2 linked regions of the Pelodiscus sinensis genome follow. The protein of the gene in region 2 purifies or fractionates together with the protein of the main gene of each other region. This does not show direct contact. Links are inferred from orthologs where the notes say so. Each region holds a gene or a part of one and is shown on either strand. Other genes may lie near its edges. The genes, in order: REPS1 and AAK1.

The links.
Region 1: the proteins of AAK1 (region 2) and REPS1 purify together in Homo sapiens (affinity purification with mass spectrometry; 3 studies listed by BioGRID and IntAct, counting the BioPlex papers as one, with this or other methods). This does not show direct contact. The link is inferred for Pelodiscus sinensis from reciprocal best matches to the Homo sapiens genes AAK1 and REPS1.

The regions. Positions count from the first base shown.
Region 1 is NC_134713.1:99,103,040-99,111,567, forward strand, and holds the start of REPS1 (ralBP1-associated Eps domain-containing protein 1), read right to left. Parts: upstream 3,825-8,528; 5' UTR 3,678-3,824; coding exon 3,525-3,677; intron 1-3,524. UniProt on the Homo sapiens protein: May coordinate the cellular actions of activated EGF receptors and Ral-GTPases.
Region 2 is NC_134738.1:1,520,642-1,529,103, forward strand, and holds the start of AAK1 (AP2-associated protein kinase 1), read right to left. Parts: upstream 3,960-8,462; 5' UTR 3,611-3,959; intron 3,384-3,610; 5' UTR 3,198-3,383; coding exon 3,035-3,197; intron 1-3,034.

The sequences.
Region 1 (8,528 bases), on a different chromosome or scaffold from region 2:
ACATTAGTGATTTATAAGTGCATTTTATATCCTTTGTATTATTCATCATCTCTTTCCTTACACACCCAAACATCTTTTGGTTTTTAACTGCAGCTGCCCATTGACAAGATATCTTCATTGAGCTGTCAACAATGAAACCCAGGTTTATCCAGTTCATTTACAATCATGTAATTTACATTTTCCCCACCAAACATTCATTACTCTGCAAGAGAATATCAATCTGCAAGAGAATATTTACCTCCCTTGAGACAGGCTAAGTAGGACTGGAATCCGTTAGGGATGTAAAAATCCTGTTTAACCAATTAAATGTTGTGATTGAACACTTAACCAAGGTCATGTGGGCAGGTGACCTGGAAAGGGGTCTCCAGCCAGGCCACAATACAGGCAGTCCCCAGATTACATCAATCCGACTTATGTCGGATCCCTAGTTACAAACGGGGGGGAGGGGCGCAGCTAGTGCGTGGTGCCTCCCCCACTGTCGCCACCTCCGGCGGCACAGGGGGCACTTCTCCTCAGCAGACCAGGTAGACGCAGAGCTAGCGCCCCTCCCCCTCCCCCAGCAGACCAGGGAGACACGGAGCGGCTTTTCTCACCGCAGAGGATGCAGGTCTGCTGGGGGGGAACAAGACACCAGCCAAAAGGGGGCACCCCAGAGCGGAAAAATTAATTTCCTAGGGAACAGCAGGAGCAGCAGGCAGTGAGACCCATTGTGTTACAGTCCCCACCTTGGGAGCAACAGCTCTTTCCCTCTTCAGCACTAGAGCTGCAAGTATCTTATTAGCGTCACGTGAAATTAACAAGTCCCTTCCAGCCTGGCAGAGGTGAAGCTGAAAAATTACCTAGTGGTGTGGGTGGGCAAGAATGGGGAGGTGCAGGACAGAAGGGAAGAGGGGATAAGCCCCAACCCCACACCCTGGCTGGAGCGGAGCAGGGTAAGCCCCGAGGGGATGGGTCTGGTTGCAAAGTGGGTGAGTGGACAATGAGGACCCACCTGTGGCTAAACTCCTGTTCCCAACACAGAATTTTTCTTTAAAATTAATCCTGTGGATAAATTCACACACACACACACACACACACACACACACACACACTTACTTCACAGGAAGGGATTTCCATTTTCTGCTCAGCAGAATACAACAGCTTTGATTGTATCAATATTTCACTGTGCTCTCCAATGACTATTGATTACACTTAATACCCATTTCACTGAACCATCTGTAGCAAATTCTATTTGAAACAGTAATATGCATTGAATAAACTTTTTTTAGATATAAAAAACAAAGATTCTGACTATTAAATGAATAACTGGGATCTTTCAGGTACCCCAAAAGGAAGATTTGGATATAGCATGAAACACTGAAACTTATGATCAATTTTTAATTAAAATATCAACCAAAAAAACCTTCATATCAAAACAGTATGTGTTTTTCTTAGAATAAGGAAGTTGTATGAGAATCAGGGTCTTTTCCACCTAACTCCAGCTCCCCGTCCCCCCCCAAAATATGTACCAGTTCCAACTTACATACAAATTCAACTTAAGAACAAGCCTACAGTCCCTATCTTGTACGTAACCCGGGGACTGCCTGTACCATGCCATGCTGCGCTCACTGGTAAGCATCAGCCAGTAATGGTGATGCTTACCAGTTAACTGGTTACATTCCTAGAACCTGGGACTAGTGATATACAAAGCACAAGATTACACTATTCCACTAAGCTACTGCATCAAGTAAAGCATGCCAACACTGTACTAGTTTATATACACACAACATTTCAAGATTTATGTAGAAGAGACACTAAACAATACACATCCAGCTGTGTTCATATGATGAGCGTAAAGACTGTGGGTATTGTGTAATTCAGAACACAAATACTAATATTTGGGTGGCCCTTGAGATCTCATTAATAAAATATTGAAAAACAAGTTTTCATTTAGAGATTTAAACAGTGTAGATCATGAACACAATAAGGACAAATAAATTACTAGGAAACATGATTATTTAAGTTAATTTTAGTGCTTGCCATATTTTTATACTACCCACAACTTATCAACTGATTCAGCTAAATAGAATAAAGAGATCTGGTTCATTTTAAACTCCTCTCACCTAATCAAATCTCTTGCTTTTAAGTGACTAAAAAGCAACACCAATGCTCCCTGATAAAGTGTGTACACACTCCTGAAATTAAACCCTCTTCTGAGTTGAAAGAAGCTGATGGATACATGTTTGTTGGTCTTGGATAACAGTAAGCAACTCTGACTCTTCACTGAGGCAACAGTGTACCTATGAGATGGTATGGCTTTCTAGAAATAACACTTTATTCTGCTTATAGCCTCTTTCAGGGAACTACACTTCACAAACATATCACAGCCATGAACATATTATGGTGGATGCACACACAAGCTATTGCCTCTATAGTTCCCCTGTGGATACTTTTCTAGGAACTATATTAGACAAACGATGCTAAATTATCCCTTAGCTACACTGGTAGCACAATTTGTAACTCAGTAATGTAGCTTTCACATAAGTCCCAGTTCCCACTGGTTACAGTAGTAGTGCTGGAACTTTGCTTCCACACATTACTAGTGGGAGTCTACTGCTTTAGCACAACCTGCCTGTATTATCCAATTTTAAAACTGCATTTTTCACTGATGTCAAGGCACTTTATAAGATCTGCAGGTACTCTACTTTTTCAAATTAGAAAAAAAGTAGAGAGTTATTTATCTGAACAAGGTCACTGAGCCAGAAACACAAACAGGAATAAAAGTACAGATTTCCCGTATCCTGCTATCAGTACTTCCCAGCAGTGCTCAAATTCCTATGCTTCGGATGGACTTTCCCATAGTTTTTGCAAGTGACATACTTCTCAGCCTAAGATTAATAGGACCACAGGAACTCATTCAGGTAGCCTCTGCAACCCAGCAAGTTAAGACTTCAATATTAGTAAGATCTGAAGGACAACATGCTCTGAGCCTCCACTTTGCTCCAACTCGGATAAACACAAAAATTACCCCATTCCCAGTACAGCTGGGGCAACAGCCCAAGCACAGCAAGAGTCACAGCACTGAAGTTGTCATACCTCAGCACAGCGTTTCTCGGGAGAGGAACACCTGACTGTCCCTCAGGCAGGTCACATACACCAACCCCTAACCTGTAGTTAACCCCAGTGCCTGCCCTCAGCACAGAGCCCCCACTGCAGAGGCAGAACAGGGATAGACTTTGAGAGACGCCCCCTCCCCCGCCTCTGGTTCAGCAGCAATGGCCGGGGTGCGGGAAACGTGGGCGCTGACAGCCACTAAAGCCAGCTGTAACCCCTGCGCAGAACGGAGACCGCTGCAAGCCATAACCCCCCCTTCGCCCCAGCACCTGTGGCAGCCACCGGGCCGGGCCAGGCTCCCCCGGGAGGGATGACAAGGCCGTAGGGGGGCGCGACTCCCGCTGCACCCAGGGGGGCTGAGGGGCGGCTCAGCGCCGGGAAGCGGGCGGGGCCCACGAGGGGGCGGGGGGAAGGCGAGAAGCGGCCGGTACCTGCAGGACCACCTCGCTGGGCAGCTGCGCGGCGCGGAACAGCTCCAGCACCCGCCCGTTGGGCGCCACCTTCTTGGTGCTCTCGGTGTCGCAGTAGGCGAAGAGGTCGCAGTAATAGCGCTGCTCCGCCTCGCTCAGCGTCAGGCCTTCCATCGCGCCCGGCCGCGAGACGAGCTGGGGGGGGGCGGGCCAGGGGCGAATCCCGCGCGCGCCGCTTCCCTCTCGGGCCCCGCCCGCGCCGCGGTCCCTCGCGAGGCCCGGCCGCTGCGCTCGCGCTGTGAGGGCGCCGCACCGGAAGCGCGGGGGGTGGGCGGGGCTATAAAAGTTTCGGCCCCGCCCCCTTCTCTTTGCCCAGCGAAGCCGCCGCCGTTTACGAAGCCCCAGAGAGGGGGCGGGGAGGCTGCGGAGCAAAACAGGCCCCTCCCTCCCGGCCCGGATGTGAGGCCTTCGCTGGGCCGGAGTCGGCGGGGAGGGGCGCCCGGCAGCGCCCCCTGCTGGCGTGGCGGGCGGGCGGCAGCCTGGTGCCGGCTCCCCCGCCCTTGCGGCTGCTCCCCGCCGTGGTGCCTCCCGCGCTGGGTGGTGCGGCTTTAGGCACCTGAGTTACAGGTGCCCGCCCGGCCGCCCCGGCTTGTATGGAGCGATCCCTGGACGGAGCCGCCTCCCGTATTGGTGTCAGAGACGTGCCCCAGGAGTCAGGGCGGGCGGGGCTAGATCTCACCGCTGCAGCCCTAGGCGCGGGGACGAGGGATCACCGTGGGTGCTGGAACAGGGGGTGCCCGGCCATCTAGTGGTCTCCCTTCTCTGGGGCTGGCAGGTTGAATGGCTCTCAGCCCCCGCCCTGCACACCTTGTTCCAGCTTCCTGTTACTGATTAAACCCCATGGTCCCATTGCAACCAGGGTGCCTGCCAGCTCTTTAAATAGCTCCCTGCTGGCTTTTGGTGTAGCAATCCAGCTCTTGCCGGAGCTGCACATCAAAGTGCACCGGATTTCACCTCTGATTAAACCTTATGTTGGGTGAATTCAGCCTGAAGAGCGCTTGCCTGTTAATCAAAGCTAACCACAAAACTTTAACAAAAAAAAGATCAAAGTCAGAAAATCATCATGGGATGAACAAATCTAGGGACCATTGACAGAAGGAAGGAGGTGCAGCATTCTTTTCCTGTCCCACCTCCTTAGCAGCCTACAGACAAAATATTCATCTATAAAACACAATTTTCTTAGAAAAGGAGTACAGTATTGGACAACTTAATGGGAAACTAGAAATGCATTTGTCCACTGATGCCAAATATAGCAAGTATGTTATAATGTTTTATTCGTTTAAAGGAGTTGTCAGTTAAAATCTTGCATGCTCTCAAGTACCTTCCCATAGCTCTGAAGAGGTAAATGAATGTGGGTTTTAAAAAGCTGATTGTACATGCTGAGGCTTACTTCTGAAAATATAATTGACATATACTAAAAAGGTTATTTATAATTAACTTGCTAAATTCCTTTTGCATACATAAAGCATGGAACAGATTTTGTCAAATGCACCTGTCTGCTATAACTCCTCAGGGCTATAGAAACTTTCATTGTCCTTACAGACCAAGTGAGCTAAGACTAGAGATGAGCAGGAAAGATTTGGAAAAATTCCAGTAACTCTGAATGAAGAGCTGGACTTTTGCTACTACTGATCCTTCCAAAAAGAAGAAACAGTAAGTGGCGGAAATTTTTCACTCCCAGATGCAAAAGCATTGTGATCATGCTATCAAGTTTTCTGGATCAAAGGAGCCCTTTTCTTAATTTTCAAAAAATCCTGGACTCTTGTCAGAAGCATTTGTGTAAAATAAAAGTGTTTAAAATCCAGTCACTTTTCAGATATTTGCAGTCCTTACATGTGTAAAATTCTTCATATATCCTTTATGTATTATCCTACATAATTTCTTTCCATCTTTACTATTTACATCCTTCAGATCTTTGTAAATCCCATCTTTTTCATCCTCCTGTCTTCATGATCACTTTACTAAATTATATCCACTTACCACTTAATTTTTCCTCATATGTAACTGTTTATCAAAGGGAAAATCAATAGAGCTGTATGCATAGACTTATTGGGGAAGATCTTGCATTCCTGACATACAAACATCAAGATACTCAATGGCTGTTTATAAATGGCCACTGTATTTTAAAATATTCTAGCATCCAAAACCCTAAGTAATTAAAGCCCTAATCTTACAACTCTGAAGCACATGTACATCAATATGATCAATTTTAAGTACATCACTATGATCACTGAAGTTAATGAGAATACTGACAAACTTAGGCAGATATAAGAAGTAGTCCCATGGCACCAGATGGTGCATCTACACAGCATTATTTTGGAATAACTGACATTTTTCCAAAATAACATAGTCCACGTCGACACAAGTAGTTATTTCAACATAATGTCGAAATAACGTCAAGCTGAAGGACTTCTTACGCCAACTCCTGTTACCCTCCTTTTATGAGACATAAGGGAAGTTGGAGGAAGAGTTCTCTACCTCGGACTCCCCGCTGCGTAGACAGTGCCAAAAGCCGAAATAAGCTATTTCAACTTAAGTTACACAATTGATGTAGCTCAAATTGCATAGCTTATTCTGGCTTTAGCTCTGCTCTGTAGACATGTCCTTAGAGACTTAGAGAGAGAGAGAATCATGAGCTTTCATAGGCAAAACCCAATTCTTCAGAGGAGATGATCTTGAGTGGAGGCATGATAAGAAAGGGAACATATTATATAAACCTCTATTTTCCTCTCACAACACAGAAAGAAAGATCTGCTGGTGGGTCTACATAGAGGGGGCCTTGGAAGTGACTGTAGCTAAAGGTATCCTACAGAGAACTGAGAGATGAGAAAGGGGAAGCCCTGGGTAAGGGTATTTCAGTTACATTGGAGGAACTTTGTGTGGATGGGCAAGAAAGCAGAGCTTGCTGAAAGACTGGGTGACCATCTGTTTCCTTTTCAAACCCAAGGGCTGGAGATTCTGGCAGAGAAAAGACAGAGCTCCCTGTAGTTTGTGGTAAGACTGGCAAAAAGTCTAAAACCAGAGTAGCCAAAGAACAGGCCAGATACTCTTTGTAGCTCAGAAACTTTTGTTGCTTAAGTTTGGTCCTTGGACCACTATCAGGATAGGTTGGTTTTCTTGGAATACAACTAGAAAGAAGATCCACAAGAAGTTTGTTTATTTTGTTGAATTTTTGTGGACAGAATTACCCTGGAAATGGTGGAGCTCATTTTAGGCTGAGAGCCATCTTTATTTGAATGGGATACTGAGGCAACAGCTACCTTGACACATGACCAGATAAGAGGTCTACAATATTACAGTATTGTATAGTTTTCAATCAACTGTAGGTTTGTTGTGATGTGCAGCCTTTGTACTGTTAGTGCTACAGATTTCTACAGATAGATATCCAAATACATTAACCTAATTAGATACATTTGTCATGTAATCAAATTTATTCAGAGTGGCAAGGCCATGCTTTTCCAAATGAGACATTGTAAAAAGGAGCCAGGATGCCCTAAAAACAAAAGGTCTAGAATTTAGACTTTATTTTCCTTTCTGTTTTATAACAGGGTTTTGATGGAAGTGGAATTGTTTTGTTTCCTCATATCCAACCTGCTGGAAGAACAGTCAGTGCTAGTTATTGTATGAATTTCAGCTCCCAGGAATGAAGCATATATGTTTCTTCAGCCAAGGCCAGCCTTAAGGAAAATGGCATCCTCAGCAAAATTGTTTTTTGTAGCCTGTGGATTTAAGTATGTAGTAGCATTAGTGAAAGTTTCAGAAATAAATCAGTAATCTCAATACCTGTAGTTTTCATAAATGTACTAAAAAAATTGACACAAATTTGATTCAGTTTTATTAAAATAATAAAGTGTCAAACTAAAACTAAACACTAAACTAATGAATAAGAACAAATAACAAGTGTTATTCATTAAGATTCAGAAAGCAGCCCTACATGCCTTTGCTGCTGCAAACTGTGACAATCCTTGCGACTGGAGAGATTGTGAGCCACAGCATTTTCCACATACGGGGTGGAACTGGATTCTCAGCAGATTAAGGGACAAGGCACATCCTTGGGGCACAGGAAGGAAGCTACTCAGTCCTTTGCTCCCTTGGATGCAGGGCCTGCTAGTCTCTCTTGCCCCTTGCAAAGAGAATTGTCATTATCAGTGCTTCTTGGCCAAGCTCTTCTTTTAAGAGCTATATGGGAATGGATTATTTTAGATTAAAATATGAGGCACAGAAGGAAGGCTGCTATTTTTGAATGGCATCAGATTGTGAAATGAAAAAGTGGGTGAAAAATCGGAATGTGTCACACTCATTTGCCCTTCAGTGTGTACTTCCTCCACAGTTTGAGCTGCTCTGCAGAAGCCCTGGCAGCTCCCTTGCTGCAGCTGCACTTGTCCCTTTTGCCTGGCCTGCAGCTCAAGGTGAGTTCCATGCTAACAGATGGGGGCTGCATTTTGCCTAAGCCCATGGCCCTTCTGAAGCCCTCAGGCCACTCTGGACTCATCAGGGGTGCCATTATAGATTTTTTTTGGGGGGGGGGGAGAAGGAAGAGGAGGAGGCAGCTTTAACTGTGATTCCAGAGGATACTTAGGCACCTGAAATCAATAGGATATTTTTTTTGCAAATAACTTAGAAATTAGCTCTTAGATTTCACAAATCCTGACATTTCTATCAGTAATAATTAAATTATTTACAAAAAAAGCAAGAAAAATGCTTCTTGAGAACTTGTTAGAGTTAAAAATTAAGTGATACAAACTTCTGAACTGGGTGTGTTACAAATTGATGATTGACTGAAAAGTCAACAAATTATGTCTGGTGTTAGGATATTTATTGTGTATACCGTGACATGAGATATTGACAGTTAGTGTTTTTTTCTGCTTTGTTGTAATCACATTGGTACAAGGATGAGAGTCACAAGGTGAATGAAGTAATATTTTCAATTGGACCAAATATGGTTGGTTAAAGAGACAATCTTTG
Region 2 (8,462 bases):
CCACCCACCCACCCACCCACCCTTCTGGATTCTCTAACCCTCTGTAAACTTTGGTAGGAAAACAAATCTCCTCGACTGAGGTGTTGGGCACAATGTTTGGATTAAGGAAAAGATGGAAAGATGGCTGTTCAGAGAGTCACCCACTAAACTCACTTGAGCCAAAGACTATAGAGATATCTGTATTGGTACTTCACCAGTATCCTCATTCTAGCTGCCATATTCCCAAATTAAAAATCAGACTATGTGACAGGAAAGGAAGCGTCCAAACAGAATTTGTATCAGGAGAAAGTCACACCCATTTTCATGGTGGTGTCACAGGAATCCTCGCAGGGGACAGTGTTTAGAAATCTGTCATTGGATGCATTCCAAAAAATGTACTGTCTCTTCCAGAATCCCTTTATGAGCCAGGATAAGTTTTCCTCAGCTGAGTTTTCCCAGGACAATCCAGAGGGGGTGACTGTAAGTCCCATTAAGCAGAGAGAAGTCCCTTGCTACTTGAATTCCAACAGTGCTGACAAAACTGAGGAACTAGTTTAACAAGGCGCATATGCGTTTCCCATCATTCATTATTTCAGACTCCAATTCTTAAATCACTTTCGCAATAACCTGTCTTGCTTCTGACTGCCTATGCCAGTGCCATTCTACCAGCTTGCCATGCTTAATTAAACAAGGGGCAGAGGAGGGCCATCGTCTTTCCCAGCCAACAAAGGTCACCTCCTCTTGGGAAGTGTCACTTCCTAGGTGGTTTCGCTCTAGCGGAAGAGGACGAGGCTTCTTGGCTCAGTCTCTCAGAACTGTCAAGTCAGTGACACACTTTGGCCTATGGGTGCAAACATTTCCATCCGAGATGGATCTAGATTGCACCAACTCAAGGTCCAAGTTGCTAGGCGGTTCTCCAGAACCCTACACGTTAACAGCCCTGAATGGGCACTGCGGTGCCACACTGAATGCAATGCCAACAGGCAGGAAAAATGCGACGCTGCAGAAAGTTTGACCTATGCTGCCTTCTCAAGTGACCCCCATTTCTTTGGCTGCACCCTCTATTTATGGAAGGGTGGTTTCCTCCATTCCCCCTTCCTCCCAGGGGCAGAAGGGTCCCATGGGCCTTCACCAAGCCACTAGCCCAATGCTCTGCTATTAACCAGTCACTTGGCAAGGCCTTTGGGACATGCACCAAGGAGGCGAGGTGCTGAGTCTCCTTTGGAATTTTTGACCAGTCGTAGCAACGGGCTCATTTGAGGGACAGAACCCTGGCCCCAGCATCCAACAGGAGAAGGGACTCAGCTCCTCGCACATCCCTGTAGCCTTGCTGCAAGGCATGAATCAGACCTGTTTTACAGGGTTAGCCGTGCCCGGATTCATTTGTGCAAGCAGGCTGATGGCAGAGTCGGGACCAGGAGTCAAGTCCTTTGACCCAGTCCAACCCCTAGTCAGCCAACCGTATTGAAAGCCAGGTTTAGACTCCAGGAGTCCTTAATCCTTGTCCCTGCTCTCTGCACCTAGACACTCAGTCACAAAAGGTCTCCAGCAGGCGGTTGTGTGACTGATAGCACAGCAAGGGGCCAAGTCTCCCTGCCTCTAGCCCACCCCTCCTAAGCATGGGCGCAGATGAACTGAAGCGCACAATGCATCCTAGGAGGGCTGATCAGGAGAGGTCCCAGGAGCATGGAAGCTTTCTCATGCTGCTGTCAGCATCCTGGGCAGGACCTGCCAGCGGAGATTATTCACCCGCAAAGAAATGTATTTTGCCTGTGTTGCAGGCCAGAGAACAAGTTTTAGGCCAGCTGTGTAATGACAGCAAGACCAGCTGGTAGTGAGCCTCCTTCCTGGACTCCCGCTGCCAGCAGGCTATAGTCCTTAAAGGCCAAGAGACCCAGACTGTACCCGTAAAGTCAGTGCCTCACCCAACAAGAACAAGTTCTGTATAACCACCTACGAGCTTGTGGGGTGTTTCCAGATGACAGGTTTTGGCCTCCTCCCCCATCTCATCCCCAGCGCTCACCAGAGTCACCACCCAGGTAGGAACTGAAATCAACAAAGACTTGAAAAGATGGTTGGAGATTCCTAACACACTGCTCCCTTTCCCCTCCTCCCCCCACTCAGTTCTCATGCACCAGCTTCCTTCTCTCTTTTAACCCTGGCCTATTCCAGGCAATCCATTTGCAGAACCCTAGACAACTGACAAAACACTGGTCTGACTGAAGATTCAGAGGATGCTGTGCAAAGGATGAACTGTGAGTAGATCTAGGGAAGGCAACATTATTATTCTGAAGGTCGAGGGTAAGGTTACCAGCAAGAAGCATTCAGAAGATTCTGTTAGTGCCTAAGCACATACATGACAAGTAAAATTCTAATTACAGCAGCAGTGCTCCAGATAAAATATTAATTTACACACACTTCACCAGTTTTTTACATTGCAAGAATGTCACATCTAATGTATAAACACCTTTAGGATTTCAAGCCCTTCCTGTTGGGTTTTTTCTTCCCCCTTTTAAAGTACTTTACAACCCGAACATGTAATCTGGATTCCAGTTTTCTTTGCAGTAGCCCCGCATATACAAACAAACAAACAAACAAACAATCCCACACCACAACCAGCAGTTAGCCCTGGTTGATCTATAAAATATGACAGAGAAAATTTACTTCAAGGTGTCCCCCGATGAAGGTGGGTAGAAGGAATCAGGCCAAAAAGTTAGAAGACCACTGCTTTTGTTGTTCATAAGTGCATCTTTCCCCCACCACAATGTACCATGATGGTTGTTTTTAAAGCATTCCAAGTTTGAAGCTGGGAAAATCCAGTACCTGCTGTTTTTATATTGTCCCTTTGGATTTATATATATAAAAATCACCAGCATTACCTGCAATTGATTTACGTATCTGAGAAACCAGTCAGCTGTAGAAGCCACCAGTTCACAAACCCCTCCAGGGCAATTAAATTTTGAAAGGGGGGGGGGGCAGAAATATGATTAAAGAAAGGCCCAAGCCTCTGTTTGTAGTTAATGGAAAAGGGAGAATAAAGACACTGCATTCTTACCTTCAGCCAGCACTTCATCCACCGTCACCTGGTATCTCCCAATATGGAACACCCTGCCAATGTACCCACTCCCTGGTCCGCTAGAACTGCCGCTTCCACTACTGGTACCAGAACCAGGGCCAGAACCCCCCAGCTCTCGACGAGAGTCAAAAAACTTCTTCATCTCCCCAGAGATATAACTGTATTATAATCAAAGGCGATGTTATTTTCCAAGGTCCAATATTTTCCCCTTCTTGATTCCAGCCAATTAAAATAATCCACTCCCAGCGGTGATTTTTGCTTGTTTGTTTTAAGTAGGGCAGATGATTTTCCCCCTCCTCCTGGCAGGCAGAGCTTGTAAGATTTAGACCTGTAATGACAGTATCAAAACAAGGGAGGGGGGAGGACAAACAATTACAAATACTTAAAAAAATCAGCCAGACCCTGGACAAAATTAAAACCCCCAAAGATGTTCCCACCGTTCCCCTAAATATTAACAGACAAATTCTTGCACTCCTCCCACCAAGCACTGCAAGCAGTTGGTTATAAAAGAATGATGCACCTCTCCCTGGATCCCTGCCCCCCATTCACACACACCTAGGAGCTAAGGGGAAGGCTGCCCCAGCCCTTTACTGCAGAAAGGCTGGACCTACCCAGCTAGCAACTTGGCCACAATGTTACCATTGCTGCAGCCGCTCTACGAGCCCTGGATGAAACACTGTTATAAGGTACCATTGCCACTCAGGGAGGCTAACAGCAGCTGATAGCCAGAGACCATTACAGGCTGAGCCTGCTCCAGCCCCCCCTCTGCTCCAGCTCCATCCAACCAGGAAATGAACTGTCACAGGAAGTCCCTGCTTCAGGGAGGGTGGGTGGAGTGGGGAGATGGTGCCTGGGTGATTTCCCATCCCCCCACCAGCTTTTTTTTAACCCCTTAATCCCCAGCATGAGTCTCCCGCCTGCAAACAGGTTTCAGGTGACGAAACAAGGCAAAGGGCTGGGAGGGGCAGGGGGGCGGTGGGGGGCTCAGATCCAGCATTAAAGCAGCAGCCCAGGAAACTGGGCATCAAAGAGTGTTTTTTTTAAACTGCAACAGACCTCTGTCGCATGGCATTCTGGGAGTGGTAGTTCTCCCGGGTGGCAGCTCCGGCCAGCTGTGCAGCGAGAGGGACTACAATTCCCATAATGCACCAGGAGAGGCGCTTGCGTGGGGGGTTAAGAGTAAAGCGTGGTGGAGAGTTTAGTTGTCACCCTTGTTCAGTGCCCCCTCTTTGGTGTGGGTTTGATTAATTAATGAGTATAAAAGCAATTTCCCCTCCTCTTCCCCCCTGCCAGACTTACAGCAGGGGCGCCTGGGAGTTGTAGTTTCTCTGGACCCCACCATGGCAGCACCAAGAGGGACAGCATCCTGGCCGGAAAAGCAGAGAGAACCCGTGAATCGCAGAACTATAGGCCTGGGAACGACCTCCAGAGGTTATCTAGTCCAGGCCCCTGTAGTGTTCTCCAGTGGACCTGATTTCCTGGCATCCCCCATCCTGCTTTGTAGGAGTTTATCTACTCAGCCTCCTTAAACAGTCAGCCAGCTGCTTAAGCAAAACGAACAGGCTCTGTTGGAATTGGGAGAGCAGGGCTGTGCCTTAGCCATGTGAGCTGTTTGCTATAGCTGCACTTTTTAAAAAACAAATGTCACTGTAACAGTCACAAATCTTCAGCGAGATGCAGGGCTTGCGATTTTTCTCCTGAGCCACGGAAGATGCTGGGGTTTCATAAAACCCCCACACCTGGGAAGCATGTAATTAGGAGAGACTATCACTTTTTTTTAAATCAAAGCTAAGTTCCTAGCCTTCATGCCGGATGGCGGCATGGCCTGATTGTGCCTCAGAAGTTCAGAAGACAAGAGGGCAAACAAAAAGAATCCAAAGTTTATCATTTTTAATCCCGTGGTTTTTAAGCCAATCTCAAGATTTTTTGTAGTTTGGCTTATGAATGTTCGGAGTTGGCAAGACTCATTATTTGTTATTCTATTATTTCTTTTTCATGGCATCAAAGAGTTGAAGGCCAGAAGGGACCACTAGATCCCCTGTGTACCAGAGGCCACTCACCAGGCTTCTGGAAAGGGGAGGGGGTGACCCTGTGCTCCCAGAAGGGGCAGGGCCTCAGGCTGTAAGAGCAGGGATGGGGGGGCAGGACCAAGGTATCTGAGCTTCATTGCCACCGGGACCACACCCCCACCCCTTCAGCAGCATCTGGAACAGCAATTTAAAGAGCCCTGGGTGTCCAGCCACTGCTGCTGCCGCAGTAACAGTGGTGGTGGCAGGTGCCTTAGGCCCCTTTGCCCCTCCCTGTCAGCAGGCCTGCCTACCATCAAATGCTGGGAGGGCAAAGGCGAGGGGGTGCCAAAGAGTACCATTTGGCCTAGGGCCAGTCCTGGATGGCTGGTCCACAGCTCCCCCCAGCGAGCCCCCAAAATTTGCCACTGCAGTAGCTAGTCTAGCTTCACAGGGCAGGGTGGGTGCTGGATGTCAGCTCTTTCCCCACTTTCTAATGCTAACTCGCAGTGTGATCCTGAGCACGTCACGTCCGTGCTCAGTGCCTGTGTTTCCTGTCTCCCACCCTGTGCTTGCCTCTGTTTACACTGAAAGCTCCTTGGGGCAGAAGGTGTCTTACAGCACCTAAGACGGGGCAGATCAGCCCACCAAGCCTTTGGATTCAGCCCGTGGGGGGCCATGTGGGGTGACTTTGCACGCACGCCTACACACACATACACCCCATGCAGCACAATCATCGCAACTCCTATTGGCTGGTACAGAGAGTCATGAGGCACCCGCAGCCAACTACTTTGAGTGGTCTGGGACTGTGGCAGGCACGGAGTCTGCCTGAAGTTCCCGCTGGGCTGCTGGCTGGGAGCTGTCAAGGGTAAGTGCCTCCTCGCCAGAGCCTGCCTCTGGTACTTTGCCTCATCCCATATCCGAACTCCCTGCCCTAGGTCACTACTCAAGAACTCCCTCCCAGACCCTGCACATCTTCCTACACCACTCCCACAGGCCAGAATCCTCTCCTGCATCCATACCCCCTCCCTGACTATGCACCCCCTGCTGCACCCCAATCCCCTGCCCCAGCTCACAACCCCCTCCTTTACCCAAACTCCCTCTCAGACCTGCATCCCTGTTCCCTAGCCCGAGCTCCCTTCTGCACCCAACCTCCATCCCAGACCCTCCATAGAAGAGGCCGGCCCTTGACCACTTACCAAAATCTCAGAGTGGCTCCCAATCAAAAATTATCGCTCACTCTGGCATAGGACAATGGGCCCCAATTTTGGCTGAAGCCTGAAATTTCTCTTGTCACAGAAATAACATCAACACATTACTAACCTATTCTTCTCTGTGTGCCAGTCTGGTTCACCAGGCTGGTGAGGGGGGAGAGTTTTTAGGGTTTGTTTAATGTAAATAGAAGCTTTGGCCTTGGTCTGCTGGGTCACCCTTGGTCAGGGGTCACCAACCAGTCGATCGGGATCTATCAGTAGATCTTGGAACCTCTGACAGGGGATCCTGACGGGTTTGGCCGGGAAACTCTCAAGTGCTGGCACTTCAGTTGCCCCTCCCCCACTGTCATGCTGCTCCTGCCCTCTGCCTTCGGCTGCCCCTTGGAAGCTTCCTACTTGCTGTGCAGGGTGTGGGAGAGAGAAGGGGGGGCTGATGTCAGGGTGTCCCTCCTCCCCCCACTCCTGTACCCTGTATCCACAGAGAGGGGGGGATGGAGGGAGCTTGGCAATGCAAATCTCTGTCACGCCCACGCACTGTGTGTGTCTCTGTCACTCACAAACACACACTGTCCTTCCCTCTCATCCCCTGACCCCACACGTACATGGGGGGTTGTTGCTACTTTTACTGCTGGCAAAGTGGGTTCTGTTTAGTGTTTGACTGGACTGTGCATTTCGTAACTTTCATTTCTCTCTTACACTTAAATTTAATTCTTCGAGTACTAAAATGCCAAACTGGTCATGTCTGGAGTAATTATCCCTGGGGTTGGTTGTGCTCCTGGAGGTGGCTGGCATGTCTGCAGCCCCCTAGGGAAGTCAGAGTATGCTGTCCTTGTCAGTAGGCACCACTCCTGCAGCTCCCATTGGTCAATGATGGAGAACTGTGGCCAGTGGAGGCAGTGCCTGTGGATGAGGGGCAGCACATGGAGCCATTGCTGTACATGCCAGGTGCTTTGTGGGGGTGGGACAGGGCCTGGGCTGTCTTAGTTCTACTGTGTTATTCCTGGGCAGCTGTCTAGCAAGACTTGAACCTACCCTGCTAGGCTCCCCAGGAAACTGCCCTATCCCCTAGACCATTCCACTGCCCACTCTACAGCCCTGCCTTCAGAGCGTCCCTAGTCCTGTGTCTGGTCACTCCCAGGGTGGGCAGAGGGGACGGCTTGAAGGTAGGGAGGTGGAGTGGGATCTCCAGTGAACTTGGGGATGGGCATTAGCCTCTGGAGCACAGGGTGGTGGGCTCCGTGCCACCCCCTCCACCCACTCAGGCAACGGCTGGGCTGCCAACACAGGCTGCCTGAGGGGTGGAGCTGGCTCTGGATTAGGAAGGCAGGATAAGGGACCTGCTGAAGGTAGAGGAGGAGGGGGAACAGGGCTCTGGAGTGGCTTGGAGAATGGGGTATTTGCCTGGGGAGCACAGGATGGTGGGTTCAAGCCCAAGTTCTGCTGCTGGCAGCTCAAGAACTAACCCCCCCCCCCCACACACACACACACACAGAGGGAGGTGGGCTGGGCTCCCAAGTGGGCCAGGAGATACAGCACTTGCCTGCAGAGGACAGGGCTGTGGCTTGGAGTCTCCATTTCACCCAAGCTGCACCCATCTTGTGGCAACCAGACAGCCACCCCAGGGTCTAGGACCCACCAGAACTGGGTGGGCTCAGCCCTGGAGTGGCTTAAGGGATAGAACATTCCCCTGGAGAGCACAGGGTGGTGGGCTCAAGCTCTAGCTGCCCCAGGGATGGGCCAGGGTCTGGCAGGAGAAAGGGACCCCTTAAAGGCAAGGGGGGGGGGGGTGGACCCTGGAGTGGCCTAGGGCAGCACCCCTCAGCCAGCAGTACAAGTACCCTTAGGGGTACCCAAAGGACAGGGGGTGCATCAACAACTGCAACTTGGAGAAAACTCAACTTTTATTTTAAGTTTTACAGCTTTTTATTATTTTTCTACTTTTTACCAAATATTTCATCAACTACAATTAAATTGTTAAACAAATTGTGTGCAAACTGTAGGTACTGGGGGTACTTATTATTCTTTTTTTGAAAAAGGGGCACTTTATAAAACAAGGTTGAGAAACACTGGCCTAAGGCATTTGCCACACAACCAAGACTAGAGCCTGTACCCCTACCCCAGCCTGGTGAAAGTGAATACGATGCGGGGAGGAAGGGCAACAGAGCGAGCAGGGGGAGGCGTCAGAGA